Linked DNA regions of Schizosaccharomyces pombe. Changing the gene in region 1 together with any one later gene gives a genetic interaction. Each region holds a gene or a part of one and is shown in the gene's direction. Other genes may lie near its edges. The genes, in order: sla1, bbc1, vrp1 and myo1.

Region 1 (3,477 bases):
ATACCTAAGTTTGCTTGTGAAACTATTATGTCGCTAGTTTAATTCTATTATGAAATTAGTCATTCAGGCATTTCTTAGTAATCTCGTAAATCCTGCCAGTCTTGCTTGTCTTACATTTGTGAATACCTATTTACTTAAATCTGATTTAAAAAACATGCAAACTTATATAAACTTAGAATGAATGACAAAGTTACGTTCTTGTAAGATCGTCGCCGCTTTCTGACCATTACGCAGACATTAGAAGTTCAGAGCTCAACTTCCCATAAATCAAAAAAACCATGTTTGCTAAAAACTTACTTTTCAGATTTCCAAAATGTATAAGGATTAACGGTTACAATAATATGAGAAGGTCTCTACTGCAGAGAAATGGATTTCAAGCAGGCATTTGTCGAAAATTTGGTACTGCAACCAAAACTGATGTATGGAAAGGCCGTTTTTTGCCTATTGTATCTGGCGTTGCAGCTGCTTCTTTGACTGCTGGATATTTACTTGGAAAAAACACTTCAAATGCATCATCGAGTCAAGATAATGACCATCCTGTTGTAGGCGAACATGTCCATACGGAAACACAATGTAAGTATCATATGTTTGAAATGGCTATCTTTTTCTGTACGATTATATGAATTTAACTAACAATATAGCGTATAATGAACCATATATGCAGCGACACCGAATTGAAGATGCCATTGAGAAGAAAATGACAAGTGAAACACAACCTTCGACTGACGAGAAAGGCCGCAAGGTCAGCGCTACTGAGAATAGTGCACCGAAGAAAACTGATAAGGAAAAATCCAGCGGGGAGACAGCTGGAAATATACTTCGAGAACAAATAGCCACTGGTAAAGATGATGATGAATATGCTAGGAAATTTGAGGAAGTGGAGGAGGAGAGCAGCGAGGAGTCAGCATTTAATCCGGATACTGGAGAGATTAACTGGGATTGTCCCTGTCTTGGAGGTATGGCTCATGGTCCATGTGGAGAAGAATTCAAAGCAGCTTTTAGTTGCTTCGTTTATTCCAAGAGTGAACCAAAAGGTATGGAATGTCTTGACAAATTTCAAGCTATGCAGGCTTGTTTTCAAAAACACCCCGAAATTTATCAAGATATGGTAGGGGAGTCTGAAGAGGAAGACGCCGAAACTAATGAGAAACCATCGACTACATCTGACGAAAATAATCAACCACAATCTCCACCCTCCGATAATGCATCTAATCCTGAAGAAGACGTTATGAACATGGAGAAAGAAATTGTTAATCTTACACCTATGTCAGTTATAAAGGAAATTTAAAATTTTCGAGGCGCTCCGTTTACTATTTAAAATCCTTCAACAATATGAAATTGAAATTATTCAATTAAAGCATTTGATAGTGATCTCGTAACGAACATATAATGACTCCAACAAATGGAGTAAGTTTAAAGTATTAATGTCTTACATCGGTTTTAATAGTTAGCGGTTCTACAATAAAGTGGATATTAAATGATAATTCGAATGGGGAATCTTGATATTATAGGTTATATTGCAATTGTCGGTAAAGAATCATAAATAGGAAAACTAAAAGCTACTGCTTGTCATTATGGTTAAATTGTATCCAGAGCTACATTGTAAGGAGCAATCTCTGTTAATCTTTTCAAAAAAAAAAACAATGGAAATTCATGGGATTATTCTATCTATTATAAATCTATTATGAATAAACTACTTCTTTTTTAAGTGCCAACTTTTAACATTGTCTTCATGAGTAGGAAAATAATGTCAGTTCGATAATAGGGTAGGGTTAGAAATGCTTCTAGGAGAGGAATCCAACTTCTTATGAAATTTGCCCTTTGCCTGTCTCTCTACGAATAATTAACATCATGTCAACTGAAGAACAGAAGGAAGAAATTAAGGACATCTCATCTAAGCAGGAGAATTCTTCAGAGGTTCCCAAGGCCGAGGAAGCTGGAAAAGTAGTAGAAAGTCAAAAAGATACTACTAGTGAAGAAAAAAAGGAGGAAACTACTGAAAAGAAGGAAGATGATGGAAAAAAAGATTTATCTTTTGATGAAGCTGAAGTTTTAAAGCAAGTTGGTATGTTACACACTTTGTTTACGTTGGATTAAAACCTTTTTTGTGTTGAGTGGTCGTTACTAACAGTATGAATAGAATTTTATTTTTCGGACACCAACTTACCCCATGATAAATTTTTATGGACTACTTCTCAAAAAAATGATGGATGGGTTCCCATTCAAACAATTGCTAATTTCAAACGTATGCGTCGTTTTCAGCCTTTGGAAGCCATTGTAAATGCTCTTCGCAAGAGTCCTGAACTTCTTGAAGTCGATGAAGCTGGCGAAAAAGTACGTCGTATGATTCCTCTAGTTCGTGTAGACAACAAGAGCGTCATGGAAAGAAGTGTCTACTGCAAAGGTTTCGGTGATGAAAAAGATGACACTCAAATTGCTTTGGAAAAATTCTTTGAAGAAAATGCTGGTCCCATTAGTGCTGTCCGTATGAGAAGGGATGACGATAAAAAATTTAAGGGAAGCGTATTTGTTGAATTCAAGGAACCCGATGTTGCTAATAAATTTCTTGAGAAAGTCAAAACTGCACCTTTGAAATGGGGCGAGGACGAGCTCACTATAATGAGCAAAAAGGAGTATGTTGACATGAAAGCTGAATTACATAAAAACGATCCACCAAAGTTTAGCAGCAAACGCAGACGTTTTGACGCTTTTAAAGAGATGGATCGTCAGCGTCCTGGTAAATATAGTAACAGAGGAAGAAAATTTAAGAAGCAAAGGTCATCTAACGCTTCTGAAGAGAAGCCTTCGGCCGCTTCGGAGTAAAATGGATTAATTTTGTTTGTTTGTTTGTTTTACAAATACTTCAAAGACACTGGACAAATAAACTTTTTCGGATTGGTTATATTAGGAATTTTGGATGAATAAATAGTCGTTTCATGCAGTTATTTTGTACAATATGACCTCGTAATTTAATGCTTAAATCGTAACAATATTCGGCTATAAGTTTTGCTATACGAATTTTAAAGGTTTTGAATAATAGCAATAGTTTTTTGCTTCATCACTTATAATGTATCGTACTGAATATTTTAAATTTCACATGAGTTAATATTAAGTCCTATTTCTTTACCAGTACGACCAAGCTTGCATTTCAGAAGTTCTCAGTGGAATTTGCAATGATCAGAATTGACTGAATTAAGAACTTGTATATTTCTGGTGGATATCAACCATACAAGAATCAACTTTAACAGTAAAAATAAAAAAATATCAACCTTAGAACCATGCGTCTTTCACATATTTCCGACTGCACAGTCAACATAGGTTTACAGTTCTCGATTGCTTGACTGGGCTACGCTATCGATCCTACACATCAATATGTTCTTCAGAATACAAAATATAGTGAAGCAAAAATAGTTGACCTTCCTATAGCTTAATTATAACTGAGACATTGCTTAAGCTACTTGAAACAGAATTAAATTG
Region 2 (7,773 bases), 2.7 Mb from region 1:
AAAAGAAATCAAATGCGGAATTATAAATAACGAGAAATAAAGATGCTAAGAGAGAGAAAGAGACAATAAAGATAGAAGGCAATAAGGTGAAATAAATTAGAAAGTGTAAATGGTAAAGGGAATATTGTATCGATCTTTAATAAAAAGTCGAAAACCACAGAAATGTTACTATGCACGCAACTGTAGAATGAAGCAACCTTTCATTCTAGTTCAAACGACGCTAGACACAAGTCGGTGTCTTTTTTGTTCAAAAATATTATACATATTCTGGGGTGAAAAGAAAAAATTTGATAAACTTCCATTTGCTTTATGATTGTTCATTAGCCAAAGGATGTTCAACGATTTCACCAACTTTTGCCTTATAACCCACAGGCAACGCTTGCAGGAGTAAGCGTACATCTTCAATTTTTTTGTTTTCCAACTCTTTACGAAATGCTTCATCTTGACGAGGATCGAGATGTTGTTTCATAGCTTCGCGAGCATCTTCACGTATCCATAATGGTTCGTCGCTCAACTCAACCATATATTGACAACTTTTTAGAAAGCAATCCTTCGAGCAATAATAGTTGAGTCCACCGTAGACCTTCATTCCTGAATCTTCTAATTTATACCTAGTTTGCTGCTTAGGTTCATAAGGACAAACGGGATAACCGCACAGATTGACGAGTTTACGCTCCTTCACCACTTGATCGTAATCACTTTTTCGAAGGTATTTACGAGCTTCCTCTAAAGTTTCTAGGGAAACCGGATCAACCAGCTTTTCAATCCATTCGAGGGCAAAAAAATCATACTGAAGTCGACTGCGTGCTTCATCTATAAGACTCTTCGACCACGTGATCAATTGCTTTTCTTGAGTGCTTTGAGCATTTTTCGGCTTTTTGAGAATTGATTTTTTGTTCATATCTGAATTGGATATATTGGAGTCAGCTGGAAAACAGAAGGTCTTAAAAATCGCTATTAGGCAGATATGAGTCAGTCAAGCATTGGAAGGAGGAATGAGCATCGTAAAAATACTTTAGCGCCGTGCAATTTTTGTTAAAGAGTTCTTGAGTTACGCAATTCATTTACAGCGAACTAAGACAGTGCGTTGGCCTTGGTACTAAAAATTTTGATAGAAATTACCCTCTCAGTTGAGTGTGGACAAAGGAAAAAAAATAAAGAAAAGCATGCGTTGCACCAATCATGTAAAGAAAGTTTTGTAGGTCTCTTTAAGAAAATCATTTTACCGTTAAAAATAATAATGATAAATTTACATCCACCCTATTCATATCTTCCACTAGTAAATAACTGGTCCTTAATCTTAATGATTCATATCCATATCCATACCATACCCCACACCCACACAGTAATCGTAAATATAGCAAACCAACGATGCTGTGGCTTCGTTTTAGGATTGCTAGTGTATCCTTATGTAAAATAGGAAACCAGATCCAATTGCGTAAATATTATTATAACGTTAAATAACAAAAACCAATCAACATTGATAAGCAAAATAATACCCAATAATCTTACAGTGCATTACGCTACCTTTGGCTAGTCGAACGAATCACTGTCAACAAGATGTTACGATTGGAAGGGAATTCCCCAGATCCTTTCCCCACAATGTTCATTCATTGAAAATCGTCTCACATGTAGTCAGTCGCTTCTTCACGTGCGATATTATCATTTGGGTGTTTATTGCTGTTAAGATTGACCAAACTTCTTTGTCTGCACAAATCGCGTGCCCTTTAGGAACCAAAATGACAGTGTACTGGCTTAGATATCCTAATAGAAGAGATTAACGATGACGTTCAGCTTCGCTATCATTTGTATATATTTTTAGTGGTAAAATAAATCGGCGGAGCCTTCATCTTTGGTATCTTGTTTTCTCTTTTTTTGGCTTTTTGTATATCTGTGTTTTAGGAAAAAAGAATCAGTGTATTGTATATTGAATGGTACCATTCTTTTTATACTGGTTCATTGTTTATCTGATCTCTCTTTGTACTTAAAAAAAGTATTAGCGGATCGCAGGCTCCACGATGAGCTCGTTTCCCACAAGAGTGGTTGCACTCTATCCTTATAGAAGCAGCTTCTCCGATGACTTGGAATTTGATCCAGGCCAAGTTATCGACGTCGTCAGTAATCTGGACGGCGACTGGTATACCGGAACATATGTGGACTCGGACGGTAACAGGAAAATTGGCTCCTTTCCAAAGGACTTTACCGAGCCAGCAGAGGATGCTGTGTTTGTAGAACGTGCTAGCGAAATGGCTCTTCATCAACCTACGCCAACTAGTGCTGTTCATTCTCGCAACTCTTCCTTAGGTTATGCTCCTTCTATTACACGTAGCATCAAGTCGATTTCCAACAATACAGAGCATCTTGGTGCCGATACAGAATCATATCTTTCAGCTAATGACTTTATTGACAGTACAAGTGAAGCACTTACGAAGATAGTTGATGTGGATACATTGAGTGCGCCATTCGGTAACGACAGCAACTCGCGTCCACATTCTTTAAAAAATGTGGAAAAATTGCATACATTCTCAGCTCCATATACCATATCTGAAGAGACGCCATCTTGCTCCACTGAGAACGACTCGCTACCACTTACCGCTACTCACACTATTACTGGTGGTGAGGATGCTGCTACCGGTGCTGCTGTAACCAACACCACCACTACCCACATTACTACTTCCACCAACACGTCTACCGTCATCCCCTCTAACCCAAATTCAGTTTTTCTTGTCGATTGTACTCATTCACAGTGCCCAACTGATTTACCAAACATCGCAACTACCCAACACTCTTTAAGGTATCTTGATAACGCATCTGCATCCGCAATAACCGTTTTGGAACGCACTCATCCCGCAGCTTCTTCCACCATGGCTACTGAGTCCTCCCATCAATCTCCGTCTGCGGACTCACAGGCAGAAGAATTATCAAAGAGCCAGCGAGTTGCAAAGGATGACGATCCTTTTGTTGTTTCCAATACTGCGAATTCCGATGAGCCAGCTTCAAGCTCAAAGCCCGCTAAACCCCTTACTGATTTGAATCGAGCCTTTTCTCAGCGCCTTAACTTGGATCCTCAAAAGCCCGGTAAATCACAGGGCGAAATCAGTGAGCAGGAGGAAGATGAATATGACGATGCTGAGTCAGATGAGATGCACAGTCCCTATAGCACTCACGAACCCGAATCTGAACCTGAAGACCAGGATGAACCATCGGAAAAGGATGATGAGAATAAAGATGTAGAGGAAGAACAAGAACAAGAGCAGGAGGAAGAACAAATTGATCCCGAAGAAGCTAAACGAATTGCCCTACGCGAACGAATGGCAAAAATGAGTGGAGGTATTGGTATGCATGTTTTTGGATTGCCTGGTCTAGCTGCACCTATTGGACGGAAAAACACTTTGAGGAGAACTCCTGCCAAATCCTCCGAGGAAGCAAAGAGCACCACTAATGACTCTTCTCCACCAAAAGACTCTTCTTCCACTTCTACTCAACCTACTGAACAATCGAATGCTCAGCAGGCTCCGTCACCGAAGGAGGAGGAGCGTCCACTTCCTTCCGAACCTTCTCAAAACCAACCAGCAGAATACCGTGATACTCCTGATACCCCCCGGAATATAATGCCTTTACCAGGCCTTATGTCTGCCGACCAACCAATAAAGGTCACTGAGCCTTCCAACGATGCAGATAAAGCTATTGTTGCTGAGGGTCCCAATAATGAGGAAGAGACTAAGGGACCAGTAATCCCAGAAACTCAGGAAACTTCCGAACAGCAAGTTCATAAAACTCCTTCTCCGGAGAAGCAAAAAGTGCTTTCTCCTCCTCCAATTATTACTAACTTTGATAAGGAAACACTTGCCTCTAATGAAGCACACGAAGCGGTACCCCAAAAGCCTTCTGCTCCACAAGTCACTCGTCTCATGGCTCCACAAGATAGCTCTTCAGTGGTAACTCCTTCCCCAACTTCTTTGCTGGATCCTGCTCGTGCTGTTCGTAAAGTAATTGATGGAATTGATCCCCCGAAAGAAGCTGGTGCCGGTGCTACAGCTGATGTAGAATCGGCTGCTAACTCACCAATTACGCCTCCTCGCACCTGGCATTCGCCCGATTTTACCTCCAAGTCGTTTGAACCCATAGAGCGCAAACTTCCCAGTCGCATTTCTGAGGTCACTGAGGACAGTATTGACGAGGATAAGCAGAATGAAGTTGACCCTTCCACCAGTGCGCGTGCTCTTCCTCCGCCTGGCTTACGGTTTGGTAAAGTCGACACTTTAGCCAGTCTTGCACATGATGATTTAGATGATTTACCAGCAGTTCCACGTATATTTAGCCCACCTCCTTTGCCAAAGACGCCCTCTGGCGAATTTGGAGATAATGAATTTATGTTCCCAAAAAAGTCAAATCGTGTTCGTGGTCACCAGTCCAGACCTTCAACTGGTTCCCAACTTCGAAATGTTGTTCCTGTTTCTATTGTAACTTCTGGTGGTCGCCCCGCTTTACCCGACGAAATGGCCTCGCCTAGCTCTTCTATCGGTCATCCTTTACCATCTCCTCCTCCAGCGGATTTTAATAGTTTAAATGTGGATTTTTACGAACCTCATAGCTATCTTGAATCTCCTGCTCCCGAACCTCAACCTTCTTATGAGGAAGAAAGTTTTAATGCTACGGTAATACATGCTCCAACTCCTAGTACTGCTACTTTTCAAGGTCATCCTACCATATCAAATGTTGCTACTCCACCTTTGAAGCAAGATGTTACCGAAAGCAAAGCTTCTCCTGTTGCTGATGCCTCAGCAACACATCAATCTAGTACAGGGTTAACTCAAGAAATTACTCAATTAGGCTCAAATATGAGATTACCCACCAAGTTGACACGTCCATCAAACGATGGACGCAAAGCTTCTGGACCAAGGCCTGCTGCTCCTCCCTCTATTCCTCCACCTTTACCAGTAAGCAATATACTATCTTCGCCGACTTCTGAACCTCCAAAGGATCATCCACCCTCGGCGCCTTTGTCGAAACCAGTATCAACTTCACCTGCTGCTCCGCTAGCCAGGGTACCTCCAGTTCCTAAACTTTCGTCTAAAGCACCTCCGGTGCCATTGCCTTCAGCTGATGCTCCACCAATCCCAGTACCTTCTACTGCCCCTCCTGTACCCATACCCACTAGTACTCCACCAGTACCGAAATCTTCTTCTGGAGCTCCATCAGCACCACCACCAGTACCAGCACCTTCATCTGAAATTCCATCAATTCCAGCTCCGTCTGGAGCTCCACCGGTGCCAGCACCTTCTGGAATTCCACCAGTGCCAAAGCCTTCGGTCGCAGCCCCACCGGTACCAAAGCCTTCAGTTGCAGTTCCACCGGTGCCAGCGCCTTCAGGAGCTCCACCAGTTCCAAAGCCTTCAGTTGCAGCTCCACCAGTGCCAGTACCTTCGGGAGCTCCACCAGTTCCAAAGCCTTCAGTTGCAGCTCCACCAGTGCCAGCGCCTTCAGGAGCTCCACCAGTTCCAAAGCCTTCAGTTGCAGCTCCACCAGTGCCAGCACCTTCTTCTGGAATTCCACCAGTACCAAAGCCTGCTGCGGGTGTCCCACCGGTGCCTCCACCAAGTGAAGCTCCACCGGTACCAAAGCCTTCTGTGGGTGTTCCTCCAGTCCCCCCACCATCTACAGCTCCACCGGTGCCGACACCTTCCGCTGGGCTTCCACCAGTACCAGTTCCTACTGCAAAGGCTCCTCCAGTACCTGCACCTTCTTCTGAAGCCCCTTCAGTTTCGACACCAAGATCTTCGGTTCCGTCGCCACACTCGAATGCCTCACCTTCTCCAACTTCTTCTTCTATGGCTTCTGCTGCTCCAGCACGTACTTCAGTTTCAAGGTCGAAATCTAAAGCTGAAAGGCATGAAACATCGACAAGCAGTCGTAAGTCTTCAAAGTCTGGAGAACACCATCATCATCACAATGAAGGACATGCTGATTCATCTTCTACTCGTACGTCATTAGCGCATCAAGACAGTCGTAAATCTCTTCATCGACATCTTTCGCGCTCTTCGAGTAGAGCTAGTAAGAAACCTTCTATTGTCTCTACTACTGGACCTTTTAACGAAAGCTTTTCTGCAAAGCCGGTTGAGCCTTGCGCTTCTGAGAAATGGTGGCTGAATTCTACTGCTGTTCCTAAATCCGTAGTGCAGATGAATGACTCTGTTCTATATATGATAAAAGAAGGAATTACAGGGCAAGATAAAAAATACAAGTCTGTACACATACTGTTCCCTGACTACAGCCAAACAGTCTTGACAGCTACATTCAACCCACATAACCAAAATATTACACAATTATCTCAACTTCAACTAGCTCCACCAGCACAGCCTTCAAAAGCTAGATTAGATGAGGAATATGCTTGTTATGGCTCTACAATTTTGAAAAAAGCCCGAGCTTACCAAGGTAGCATGGTTGGTGATGGTTCTGCATTCACTTTTGTTAATTCCGTTATGTCGATACTGGCGCATAATCTCGAACCTATAAACAAACAGACTTTTGGAGGTGTGATTTACAAGAATGTTGGAAATGTTACTGTGCAACAAATTGGTGAGATTCGCCCAGGTGATATAGTTACATTTGATAAGGCTAAATTTAGTGGACAAAAAGGTACTCTTCGTTCAAAATACTCTCTTGAAGTTGGTAAGCCCATGCATTATGGTATCATATCAGAGTGGGATGTTTCGAAACTGAAGATTAGGGTGTTGGAACAAGGCAGAGAGTCCAAGAAGGTTTCAGTTGCAAGCTACAAATTCGGTGATTTAAAGAGTGGAGAAGTTACTGTGTGGCGTGTAATGCGTCGATCTTGGCTTGGTTGGAATTAATGGTAATTATTTTACTATGGTTTTAAGTTCTTATCATTTTATCACAAATAACTCAAACTTCCTAAAGAGCAGCACTCATTTTTTTAAATTGTTCAATTGCGAAGCAGATTTGAATAGTCCTTAATGATCGTCTGTCAGTATATTCTTTCACTGATATATCTTTGACGATTGGGATTATTTATATCATTTTTTGACGACACGCCCTATGTTTTTAGAAGACTTATATCTCGTGGAAGTTGTTTGCTGAATTATATTCACATATATACCAAAGATTGGGCTATGTGATTCAACTTTTGAAATATATATACACATCTACAGTCATTTTTATAGTATATGCTAATAATCAGTTATATCTAATTAAACAGTTGAAATGCACAATTAACAATGTATGGTAAAAGGATAAGATTTTGTAAGTTATTGAACTGTACTTAAAGACAATTTCGGAAAAAAAAAATCCTTTACAAAATTCTAACTCTTTTTTCAAACGCTTGCGCTTATATAATCAACAAAAAACATTTATTTCGAGGTGAAACCGAAAATAACGGTTAACTGAAATATATACCTAGTCAAGATTAACGAGAGTGACTTTCACTAACACCCAGAGAACAAGGATGTAACATTGCAAACCAAACAAACTTCTTAGAAAACACATTCAGTTCAAGTGTTATGACTGTTCACCAAAATGAACAACCGTCAAGTGCAAAACGCAGTTTAGGGTAAACTAGTAAATAGGGAAACAAATGGAAAGTGTAAGAGTCATTTGAAGCAATAGACCCATTATTGGTACAAGAATTTGATGCCACACAAAGAGAAGTAAGAATAAATAGATTGAAAGATTTTTTAAAGGAGAATCGTATGTCGTTAAGATTATTGCTAGTGGTAGATTGTACTGTGGGATAACAACAGAATATAGGAGACT
Region 3 (6,081 bases), on another chromosome or scaffold:
ATTCTAGCCGTTCTGCTTACTCTTATATTAACAACGGTCAAGCAGGCTCTTCCAAAGGTAACCGATATGATAGTTTGTGGTAGGAACTCATATCACGCTTTAATGATCACAGAAATACATCTCAACACCTAATCCGCCATATTTGCTTTAAAAAAAGTAGTTTTATTTTATATAGTTGCTCACTACAATTCTCGCTATTGTACATGTGAATCCCATTGCGTTAAAAATTAGACAAGATATAAGAATAATGTACAATTAATAAACATCTTTTAAATCAACGAAATAACACAGAGACCATACTTCGCAAACAAACAAATTGGCTATTTACAAAAATTGAATTACAAGCTGTTTGGATTTATTCGCTATCGCTCTCAACAATCCGACGCTTCACTCTTCTTTGTACAGAACCATCACCGACAGAAGTCTCTGTAACGGTCTCGGATCTGTCAGTTTCCACTGCGCTAGGAATTACCTCATCGTCTTCATATTTATTAATAGTAGCTCGTGCTACACTTGCTTCTTTATCCGCATCAAATCCTTTTATATCGGAGCCAGCTCCAACTTCTTCTTCATCCTCTTCATCTTCTTCTTGTTCCTCTTCTTGTTCCTCTTCCTCTTCCTCTTCCGCTATAAAGTCACCAAGGTCATCTTCTTCATTTTCTTCCAGATCCTTATTATAACCACGATATTGACCAGCTCCTTCTTGTTTAATTCGTTTTAAACGATCCATACGGTCACTGTCAATGATTTCATTTTGTTCGCTATAAGTAGAACGGGGACCGTAGAAGGAAGAGTAATCCTCTTCTTCTTCTCCTGTTCCATTCTGATAATTGTTCAATTGCTTTCTTTTCTCTAAACGTCGCCGAGCTCGACTTCGTTCCTCCTCATATTTTTCAGCCTGACGCTTTAGTAGTTCTGGATCCTTTTCAATAATAATTTCTTGTACGCTTCGACTAGGAACCTGGACTGTGGTGAGACGCATAGATGGCAATTTTGATCTTGTAGCAGTGTTAATGGCTGAAGGGAGGAATGTAAAACTGCTTTTGAAGGATGTTTGAACTCTCAGTAAATGTTGTGCTTCATGTGAGGCAGTAACAAAAGTTGGTTGAGATATTAATTTATTTTGGGTATCATATATGTCGTTACCAATGCGAAGTGAATATGAACCATCAGACCATTGTACAATTTGCGCATTCGATTGATAGCTTCCAGACGGCCCCAATCGCCAGCGGACAGTATTATCAACTTTATGTTTTATTCTTTGACCCCAATGCGCGTCGTGTTCTAATAAAGCTGCATCTGCTTCGGCTTCCGCGGCGTACTGCTCTGGATCGTACGGAGTCTGTTCCACAGAAAGGAAATTTGGAATATGAGCATGAAACACGTCATTACTAGCAGAAGCTGGTGATTTGAAATTGGGAACAGCGACTTCAAGGACTTTCTTTACAGGAACACTAACATTTGTTAGGATGCATAGATTTAAATAGCTTGCTATAGTAAAAGACGCTAATTTTTGATTTTTTACTAAAAAGCCTCATGAAGCGATTTATTACTTTCACCACTGTGGCAGCTGTATAATAAATACACATTTAGAACTACCATCGGCTAGAATCAATTCGCTTCATCTATAAGACTGCAACTTACTCTGCTTCAGGGGCTTCAGTAGCCTCTTCTGTATTCGAAAACAAGCCGTCATCGCTAACGGCTGTTTCACTATCGTTTTCTATATGGCCATTTATAAGTTCATCTTGCTGCGAAGTATGATTGTCTTCATTCTCACTAAACAAATCATCTTCCTCTTGACCGTTGCGGATGTCTTCTTTAGAATCCGACATTAAATCTATTTAAATTCCTCAAAAATTCACCAGTCTAAACTTTCCAGATTGGTTCCGGTCAGAATACGTATGGTGTTGTACTAAGATGCATTAAATTGAATAATCACTAGAAGGTACAATCCTGTTACTTGTAGTGCATGGTGGTGGTAGAAAGCTTAGGGTAGCTCATAGTTAAAACCCATACCCGTGTTTCCACTTTATATTTTGAGTTATATTTATTATTGTCAAAGTATATAGCGAATATTTTTTGTAAAATCATTTAAAATCTGATAATTTAACTTTTACTTTTATTGTATTGTTAGGTGTACAGGCGAATTATCTACTATTTTGATTACAGACCTCAAGCTTGTTAAGATTTATTTTTGATTTTTAATTCTTCCTTCTTATAAAATGGCACCTGCACCACCGCCTCCTCCTCCAGCACCAGCGCCTGCTGCTGCTGCTCCGGCCCCCCCTCTAATGACCGGAGATCGATCAGCTCTGCTCAATTCTATCCAGAAAGGAAAGAAACTAAAAAAAGCTACAACGAACGACCGATCGGCTCCCGTTGTCGGAGGAGGTGTCGTAGGCGAACGTAAATCTAACACTCCAAAAAGCTTTGCTGCTCCTCCTGTACCCACAGGCGCACCCTCTTTACCGACTTCTTCAAATAATACTCAGCAAGCAGAAGAGAGACCTTCCATGCCTGCATTAGGAGGTTTATTTGCTGGCGGCATGCCTAAGCTTCGTCATATTGGAAAGTCAAGTGCTTCAGCCGCACCACCTTCCGCTCCTGCTCCTCCTACTCCACAATCTGAGTTGCGTCCGCCAACAAGTGCGCCCCCTCGACCTTCAATTCCTCCACCATCTCCTGCATCTGCTCCACCTATTCCTTCAAAGGCACCTCCTATTCCATCGTCTCTACCTCCACCTGCACAACCTGCTGCACCGGTGAAATCTCCTCCTTCAGCTCCTTCATTGCCCTCAGCGGTACCTCCGATGCCACCTAAAGTTCCTCCACCTCCTCTATCTCAAGCTCCTGTTGCTAATACATCATCACGCCCTTCTTCTTTTGCTCCACCAGCAGGACATGCACCTAACGTTACATCAGAATCTCCTAAATTTCCTAATAGAGGTCCATCCATTCCTTCAGCTTCTGTTCCTCCAGTTCCTCCATCTTCTTACGTCTTGCAGCAGCGACCTAATCGTGGTAAGTTTGCGATCATTAAAAGCATTATTTTTTTATTAACACAAAACTCTAGTTGATGATCATGGAAGATTCCACTTTAAGGATGATAGTTACTTACCAATTCCTCATCCCTTTCTTGGAGTCCCTAAAGTTTATCGGGGTGGTAGTGGCACTACGGTCCCTTTGAATCTCTCTTCATTTTAACAAATCTTTTTAAAGCTGTGTACGATTAATCTACTACCAGTGTTTAGTTGTTAAACACAGAATTTTCTTTCGTTAGATGGATACTAATAATTACTCAGTGATAGAAAAAAACTAAAAATTCATGCGGCCTTTTTTATGAATATTAAAATTATTTATAAAGATTCATTAATCCTTATAAATAAATCGTTAAATAAACTCTAAAATTAATAAATTAATGTATAAAAAAGGATTATCGTACAACAAAAAAACGAATGTTCTTAAATAGCCCCAAAAAACTCCCAATTGCCCAAATTTAGTAAAAAGTTACGACTGCTCTTCGTCAAATAACATATCCAAAGCTTCATAGTTGATTTTTTTTGAAAAAGCTCTTTGTTGCATCATTTCTTTTGCACTTTCAGCAGCAGTATCGGCTATTCCATCACTAGTGCTATCTCTAGGACGATATCGTCTTCTTTTACGAGGTTGTCGGACAATTCCTTTTTTTAAATCTTCTTGGAGTTTTAAATTTTTCGCCTCTTCCTCAGCTAAATAATCTTTATTCAACTCCATCCAAACTTGAGTTTTAGTCAATATTTCATCCTTGTCAAGCAAAATATCTTCAATTTCATCATCATCAACGTCTTCTAAGGTAACTTCTTCCTCCGAAAATTTAACGTTAACTTGTAGAGAAATCTTTCTAAGTTCATCGCCCTTAAGGGTTTCAGTAACCTCTTTCCTAATTTCTCTTTCATCGGCCTTCAAATGCACAGGAGTTTCTTGAGATTCAACTTTTACTGTTTGCGAAAGCTCTTCAGACTTAACTTCGTTGCCATCAAAATCCGGGGTCCTTTTAATAGGGGACATGTATTCTTGTGTGTGATCAATGTTTGAAACTTTTTGAGCACCGTATTGTTGAAACTTTTGATTTTTAGTAAAGCTAGGAGGATCGCTCTGTCCTTCCAGCCAAATGTTTCGAAAGTCGGCGATTGAAAGATCACCGCTCTCAGTTAATTTAAACTCATCAAGGCGTTTTTGAATAGTGATATCCGCAACTTTCACGACATGAACCACTTCTCGTACGCTTCGTCGAAAATTATTCATTCTTGCTGCAATGAGTAAGCATGCACCACAAATTCCAGCTGGCCGACGACCAATTTGCATCCAGTCTCTATTCATTCGCGCTACCAATCTGATAGCGTCGTTTGCGACACGATGTGTTTCCGGTCCAAATTCGAGTAAAGAAGCAAATCTACTGATATATAAAGACGGATCTAAAAGAGGTAAATTAGGCCTTAAAACGCGGCACAACTTGAGAAAAGTAGACCCAAGCTTAAAAACGTTAATTTGCAAAATATCAGAAAAATCGATTAACATATGAGACGTCTTAGATATCCGGCAAACAATATACAAACAGGATGCAACAACGTATTGCGATCTCCTTCCTTTTATAAAGTTGTTGTTAATTGCCAGTGTAAAGTAGCGAACTGCTGCTTCGATATGGCGTTCGTTAAGTTTTAAAGCAATTGCCAATGCCGAAATTCGGCGACGTCCGTTTGCAATGGTAAGTTCTCTGGATTCTACGGATCCTTGATTTCTGTAAGGGCCACCAAAAGTCCGAGCATGAGCTAAAGCTGTGTTAGATATAAGTCGATGAAAAATATGGACGAAGAGGTGTCTATTAGTAAAAGATCAAACCAAAATTTAACACAGACTGAACAAAAAAAGGTGACTGCATCAGAACTGTAAAACACCGCATTGCTGGATGATTGCCTTCTAACTTACTTTGATCATTACTCACAAGAGAACCCTGAACAACAGCTGCACCAGTTGAAGCCTCTCCGAATGTCACTTCCGAAACAATTGCATCTTGCTCGACGACAACACCGCATTGTGTACTATTCAATGGTTAGCAGTCAATTGCCACGTTAAAATTATATAATAAAAAAAACAACTTACCAATATGTATTTCCAGAAGCGGTATCAGATTCAAAAGTAGTTGAACCGCAATTTGGACATCCCATGGCGAATAACTGAAAACACTTGGGCGTTAGCTGTTTGGGAAATGGTATTTATCAAAGATTAAGTTTAACCCACATGGAGTACTTAAGTGGGGGGGGGGGAAAGAAATATCACTGCAAATATGCATACTAGCATATATTTTAAAGGTCTACAGAGAATTTAATCGGGTTTAATTGTTTGTTATTTTATTTTGTTTTTTTGTTCTTTTTTAATGGTTTGGAAATGAAGAGCGTTAAAATAAAATTAAAAATAGTAAATTGAACTTTGCTTCTGTATATGGTATTTGGACTTTTTAGTTTAATATATATTATAACAATTTTTACTAGTAAATTCTCTAGTTTATCTCGAGCATTGCAAGTTTAGCAAATGATTAATGAATCGTGACTATATGGTTCATTAAATCTTTTTATGTTAATTAACTTGTTAAAAACATTGTTTGGCATATATATTTATATAAGATTATGCAAGTAACGTAATTAGGAGAATAAAAAGTAAGACAGAATATATAAAGAAATAACTTAAATTGCTTGAAGTTAAATAAATATTGGTAAAGATCTTAAGGTACTGTGAGAAGCGTAAGCGGATTCTTATTTCTCTATCTTAGGCAACACTAGCGTTTCTATGCATACAACCTCATAGTCCTTACTCACCTTTTCTCACATATATTTAATACGCAGATGAATCGTTTGAATTTTCAAAGTTTACTCTGGAAATTTGGACAAAAAAGGTTTTATTACAGACCATGGATCAGAATTGAAAATATTAAACCAACACCATTATGGAAACCGATTACATTTGCTGTTGGTGTTGGTTCTGCCACCTTTTATACGGCCAATTATCTCGATAAAAGAAGAAAAAACTACCCCAAAAGCTCAT
Region 4 (6,344 bases), on another chromosome or scaffold:
TAAATTAGATCATATCGTACAATTAGCCGGTTTTACAGATCCTGTTTACTGTGAGGCATATGTGAAGATACAACAATTTGATATTATTCTAGACATATTATTGGTTAATCGAACGGATACCACGTTACAGAATCTCTCTGTTGATTTGGCTACGTTGGGAGATCTTAAGGTTGTAGAGCGTCCACCACCCATGAATTTAGGACCTCATGCCTTTAAATCTGTTCAGGCTACGGTAAAGGTATCTTCAACGGAGTCTGCAGTAATCTTTGGAAATATCGTGTATGGTGGTAAAGCATCCGACGAAGACAAAATTGTTGTTTTGAATGGCATTCCAGTCAACATTATTGATTATATAAAACCCGCATTCATTCCCGAATCTCAATTCCGTAGCATGTGGACGGAATTTGAATGGGAAAACAAGGTCGATATTTCTTCCAACGAAGACATTAGTCTGTACGATTTCTTACATAAAATAATGAAGAAAACCAATATGAACTGTCTTACTCCAGACGCGTCTCTGCGTGGTGACTGTGGTTTTTTGAGTGCTAATTTGTACGCCTGCAGTATTTTTGGGGAAGACGCACTTATGAGTCTTAGCGTTGAAAAATCCGTCTCCGGTCCTATCTCAGGACATGTTCGCATTCGTTCAAAAACTCAAGGCATTGCCCTTAGCTTGGGTGCATTTGTTTAGAGTAGAATTATATAAGGAATGTTATCCACTCTTTAAATTTCTTGATGGATTAAATTCACAATGGGAAAGCTGTTATGGATGCTGATTTAGTAGGTATATCATGTGTCTAATATTTCGCTAAATCGATATCTGATACGCTGTTTTATTACTCTTGTTGTAAATACCTTTCCTGCCGTTCTTTATTTAGCTCCTTATGATATTTCTACGATTTCGCAATTAAAAGGAGCCTGCCTTGTCATGTTCTCACTACTTGATATCCTGACATTACTAAAGTTGTGTACCTTGTATTTCTCTGTAACAGGCAAGTAGATTAGCTTTCATCTCGTGCATTTAGTTTGGTATTATATATAAACCCCGTTATTTCAATTAATTATGGCACTCACAAACGTTGTCTATAAATCACTGTTTGTATTCTTTTATAAATGATATAAACAGATGATTATGTTTAAGTTACTGCAAATCATATAGCTTCTCTCATATTGTGTTACATCCTAATATCTGTAATAAGTTAATTGTCATAGAATATACTCAAGGTCAATACGAGAACTACAGTTGTATTTGCTGGGGAATTCAACCTTTTATGTCGCGTTATAATAATCTGCGGCTGCTTTGGTTCTTGAAACGGCGATAGCCGTTATATCTAAAATACTTCAAAACTTCTCGCTTTATGAAAGGTATCTTCGACTTAAAATATTCATAATTGAAAATTCATGTTCATTTAATTCATCTTATCGACTACATGAACACACAATAATCAAATCAAGTATTAACTAATTCAAGCGCGTTATGTTTATCACTTCATCATAATTAGTCGCAAATTTCATACCTTTAGTGTGTTCGTTACCTTACCTAATGAAGTTACCCTAAAACACATTTGGATAAGTTTCGTTCGAGTATGTTACATAACAAGCCTCTTTCGGCTAGGTAATTGTTTTAATGTCAATACCAAAAATGGATGAAGCAAACGACAGAAAGCTAAAGTATATTCAATTTTCAGCTAAAGTACAATTTTAATAATTGGGGTCTGAAGTTTCGAACGGTCTTTGGCAATATTGACCTAGAAACTCATATTTCGCTCATTTTAACGATCCGTAACGCAATTATCTCAGTATTAGAAGAAACCTACACGTAAGTGCGGACTTGTCGTTAACCTATCTCTTGTTCGGCCATAAGTGAATAGATTTTATGGTAAGTAAATATGCATGCCGAATGTTAGCTAATTAATAAATTAGGCCATCCTTAAGAGAACAAACCGCGCGAAAGCTGCGACTGCAGCTGCTCCCAATAGCACTGGGAAAAGCAATGGTATTAAAAAGGCTGTTTATACCAGCACACGCAAAAAGACTGTGGGTGTTGATGATTTAACCCTACTTTCGAAAATTACAGATGAGGAAATTAACAAAAACTTGGAACTGAGATTTCGCAATGGAGAGATTTATACATATATTGGACATGTGTTGATTTCTGTAAATCCATTTCGAGACCTGGGTATTTATACGATGGATATTTTGAAATCATATCAAGGAAAAAACCGTTTGGAAACGAGCCCTCACGTTTATGCAATTGCTGAGAACGCTTACTATCAAATGAAGTCTTATCATGAGAATCAATGTATTATCATTTCTGGTGAATCGGGTGCTGGTAAGACTGAGGCTGCAAAAAGGATCATGCAATATATTACACATGTTTCAAAGTCCGTTGGCACTGAAATTGAAAGAGTTTCCGAAATTATTTTAGCTACCAATCCTTTATTGGAAAGTTTTGGTTGTGCAAAAACTCTTCGCAATAATAATTCTTCTCGTCATGGAAAGTATTTAGAAATGATTTTTAATTCCGGAGGTGTTCCTGTCGGCGCTAAAATTACGAACTACTTATTAGAAAAGAACCGAATTGTTAATCAAGTTCGCAATGAGCGTAATTTCCATATTTTCTATCAATTCACCAAGAGCGCTCCTCAGAAATATCGTGATACATATGGCATTCAAGGTCCGGAGAATTATGTTTACACTTCTGCTTGTCAATGTTTGTCGGTTGATGGGATTTCAGATGAGAAGGACTTCCAAGGAACGATGAACGCCATGAAGGTTATTGGTATCACCGAGCCGGAGCAAGATGAAATATTTAGGATGCTTTCTATCATCCTTTGGTTAGGAAATATTCAATTTCAAGAAGGCCAAGATGGTGGTAGCGTGATTTCTGACAAGAGCATCACCGAATTTTTAGGCTATTTGATCGGTGTTCCTGTTGCGGCTATTGAGCGTGCCTTGACAATTCGTATTATGCAAACTCAGCATGGTGCAAGGCGCGGATCTGTATATGAAGTCCCCTTAAATCCAACACAAGCTTTGGCTGTTCGTGATGCTTTGTCTATGGCGATTTATAACTGTCTTTTTGATTGGATTGTCGAACGTGTCAACAAAGCTTTGGTCACATCAGACAACAGCGTTTCCAATTCGATTGGTATTTTAGATATTTACGGCTTTGAAATCTTTGAAAACAACTCTTTTGAACAATTGTGCATTAACTATGTTAATGAAAAATTGCAACAAATTTTTATAGAACTTACTTTGAAAACTGAACAGGAAGAATACGTGCGTGAGCAAATTGCTTGGACTCCTATCAAATATTTCAACAATAAAGTTGTATGTGATTTGATTGAATCCAAACGACCTCCTGGTCTTTTCGCAGCAATGAACGACGCTATCGCTACCGCTCATGCTGACTCTGCTGCGGCGGATAGTGCTTTTGCTCAGCGGTTAAACTTTTTATCCTCCAATCCACATTTTGAACAGAGACAAAATCAATTTATAGTCAAACATTACGCTGGTGATGTAACCTACAGCATTACAGGAATGACCGATAAGAATAAGGATCAGTTAGCAACTGATATTCTTAACCTTATTCATTCTTCCAACAACGAGTTCATGAAATCTATTTTCCCAGTGGCTGAAGAGAGTAACTCCCGTCGTCGTCCTCCTACAGCTGGTGATCGTATCAAAACTTCTGCTAATGATTTAGTAGAGACTCTTATGAAATGTCAACCATCGTATATACGTACGATTAAACCCAATCAGACTAAGTCGCCTAACGATTACGATCAGCAGATGGTTTTACATCAAATCAAATATTTAGGTTTGCAAGAAAACATTCGTATTCGTCGTGCTGGTTTTGCTTATCGTCAAGCTTTCGATACGTTTGCTCAGCGTTTTGCAGTTCTTAGTGGTAAAACCAGTTATGCAGGAGAATACACTTGGCAGGGTGATGATAAGTCTGCTTGCGAACAGATTTTGAAAGATACCAATATTCCTTCATCTGAATACCAAATGGGTACTAGCAAAGTTTTCATTAAAAATCCGGAGACCTTATTCGCGCTCGAAGACATGCGTGATAAGTTTTGGGATACAATGGCAACCCGTATACAACGTGCTTGGCGTTCTTATGTTAGAAGAAGATCTGAAGCTGCTGCTTGTATTCAGAAGTTGTGGAATAGGAACAAAGTTAACATGGAACTTGAACGTGTTCGTAATGAGGGTACTAAACTTTTGCAAGGTAAAAAGCAACGCAGAAGATATAGTATTTTGGGATCCCGTAAGTTTTATGGAGATTATCTATCAGCTTCAAAGCCTAATGGTACTCTATGGAACACATGCGGCCTCTCTCAAAACGATCACGTAATTTTCTCAATGAGATGTGAGGTCCTTGTTCATAAGCTAGGCCGCACTTCCAAACCTTCTCCTCGTCAACTGGTTCTTACCAAAAAGAATTTATATTTGGTGATTACAAAAATTGTTGACCAAAAGCTCACACAACAGGTGGAGAAGAAGTTCGCTGTATCTTCCATCGATTCTGTTGGTCTTACAAATTTGCAAGATGATTGGGTTGCAATTCGTAATAAGTCCAGCCAAAATGGAGATATGTTTTTGCGATGCTTTTTCAAAACAGAATTTATAACTACCTTAAAGAGAATCAATCGTAATATTCAAGTTATCGTGGGTCCCACCATTCAATACTGCCGAAAGCCTGGCAAGGTACAAACTGTTAAGACGGCAAAAGACGAAACCACTAAGGATTATGACTACTACAAGAGTGGAACTATTCATGTTGGTACTGGCTTGCCTCCTACCAGTAAGAGTAAGCCTTTCCCTCGCTTAGCAACTGGTGGTAGTACAGCAGCTGCTAGAGGGCCTCGCCCAGTTGTGCAGAACAAACCTGCTGCTACAAAGCCCGTATCTATGCCGGCTGCGAAGAGCAAACCTGCTCCTATGGCTAATCCCGTAAGTACTGCTCAACAAACCCAAAATCGTCCCCCTGCTCCTGCTATGCAAGCTCGTCCTAATACAACTCAAGCTGCAGCCCCAGTTACAAGTACGACTACAACTATTAAGCAAGCAACCACTGTTTCTGCTTCTAAACCAGCTCCTTCCACGGTAACTTCTGCAGCTTCTTCTCCAAGCAATATCTCTAAACCCTCTGCTCCAGTTGCTAATAACGTCAGCAAGCCTAGTGCTGTTCCTCCTCCTCCTCCTCCTCCTCCCGCTGAAGTCGAAAAGAAAGACTTGTACTTGGCCTTATATGACTTTGCGGGACGCAGTCCAAATGAAATGACTATCAAGAAAGACGAAATTATAGAAATTGTTCAAAAGGAGCCAAGCGGGTGGTGGCTTGCTTTAAAGAATGGTGCTGAAGGATGGGTTCCCGCAACCTATGTGACAGAATACAAAGGTTCTACACCTCAAACCACCGCTTCTTCGACTAATGTTGCAGCTCAAGCGAATAATAATGCTAGTCCAGCTGAAGTCAACAACTTAGCTGGTTCACTTGCTGATGCCTTGCGCATGCGAGCATCAGCTGTGCGTGGTAGTGATGAAGAAGAAGATTGGTGAGCTTTCATTATGATGTATATATAATACGGCCAGTACATTGCTTGATTCTTAATTTGCAATAATGAATGGCTTGTGACAACTATAGTCTCTCCTATCGCATGTTTTTTAGCTATCAATGAAAGCTTCTAGTATTTGCTTCTTGCATGTTTTATTGTGATAGATTGAGAATACTCTTCGTCGACGACTTTGATTAAGCAAAGCTAAATAGTAATTTAATTGTGAAATATAGTTGATACATTGCATAGCGTATACTTATAAATGGGACAAAAGTGATAGCTTCTGTAATAATATTAAAATCATTATCTTGTTTATTGTTTGAATAAATTAGTCAGCTCCAGTGGTAAAACGTAAATATAGTATAGTAGACTTCGACAATACTAAATTCCATTAGCTACCGTAGAAAGAATGAAGTTTTTCAAGCTAGCACTGCGATCAAATAATGAAAGTCCAAGGGTTCGTACAGAAGTGACCACCGGATTTTCCATTGCGTACAGCTTGTGGAACTTATCAACGACTCCTAGATAAACATGGTTTTTGAAGTAACGGTCACGGAAATACGGTTGGAGTGAAAAAACACTACCAATATCCTGACCGTGCTTGATAGCAAAAGAGAGTGCTGATATTAAAGATTCAACATCCTGAATTCCAGTATTTAATCCCTGTCCAGCTAATGGATGAGTGTTATGAGCAGCGTCCCCGCAAAGGGCAATTCCTTCTTTTACATATTCATCAACATGGGCAAGTCTCAACGGAAATGCCGCCCTAGAACC

Evidence for each region.
Region 2: of sla1 (region 1) and bbc1, changing one enhances a phenotype caused by changing the other (phenotypic enhancement), as found in Schizosaccharomyces pombe (one study listed by BioGRID).
Region 3: of sla1 (region 1) and vrp1, changing one suppresses a phenotype caused by changing the other (phenotypic suppression), as found in Schizosaccharomyces pombe (one study listed by BioGRID).
Region 4: of sla1 (region 1) and myo1, changing one suppresses a phenotype caused by changing the other (phenotypic suppression), as found in Schizosaccharomyces pombe (one study listed by BioGRID).

Annotation. Positions count from the first base shown.
Region 1 is NC_003424.3:1,381,888-1,385,364, reverse strand, and holds sla1 (La-motif domain-containing protein), read left to right. Parts: upstream 1-1,816; 5' UTR 1,817-1,851; coding exon 1,852-2,065; exon of another isoform or gene 2,066-2,140; coding exon 2,141-2,823; 3' UTR 2,824-2,957; downstream 2,958-3,477. Other genes in the region: disulfide relay system thiol oxidase subunit Mia40, read left to right, coding at 279-573, 642-1,288.
Region 2 is NC_003424.3:4,104,809-4,112,581, forward strand, and holds bbc1 (SH3 domain-containing protein), read left to right. Parts: upstream 1-1,839; 5' UTR 1,840-2,018; coding exon 2,019-6,854; 3' UTR 6,855-7,236; downstream 7,237-7,773. Other genes in the region: RNA polymerase II CTD phosphatase Rtr1, read right to left, coding at 308-901.
Region 3 is NC_003423.3:3,053,250-3,059,330, forward strand, and holds vrp1 (verprolin), read left to right. Parts: upstream 1-2,015; 5' UTR 2,016-2,225; coding exon 2,226-3,024; intron 3,025-3,076; coding exon 3,077-3,207; 3' UTR 3,208-3,510; coding exon of another isoform or gene 3,511-4,811; intron 4,812-4,826; 3' UTR 4,827-4,968; coding exon of another isoform or gene 4,969-5,081; 3' UTR 5,082-5,142; coding exon of another isoform or gene 5,143-5,207; 3' UTR 5,208-5,554; downstream 5,555-6,081. Other genes in the region: SPOM_SPBC13E7.07 (uncharacterized protein), read left to right, coding at 1-83; RNA polymerase II-associated Paf1 complex protein Leo1, read right to left, coding at 356-1,454, 1,645-1,835; transcription factor TFIIIB subunit Brf1, read right to left, coding at 3,511-4,811, 4,969-5,081, 5,143-5,207; rbd1 (rhomboid protease), read left to right, coding at 5,883-6,081.
Region 4 is NC_003423.3:1,023,463-1,029,806, reverse strand, and holds myo1 (myosin I myo1), read left to right. Parts: upstream 1-1,833; 5' UTR 1,834-1,876; coding exon 1,877-1,879; intron 1,880-1,923; coding exon 1,924-5,574; 3' UTR 5,575-5,844; downstream 5,845-6,344. Other genes in the region: coatomer beta subunit Sec26, read left to right, coding at 1-691; monooxygenase Coq6, read right to left, coding at 5,952-6,344. UniProt on the Schizosaccharomyces pombe protein: Type-I myosin implicated in the organization of the actin cytoskeleton. Required for proper actin cytoskeleton polarization.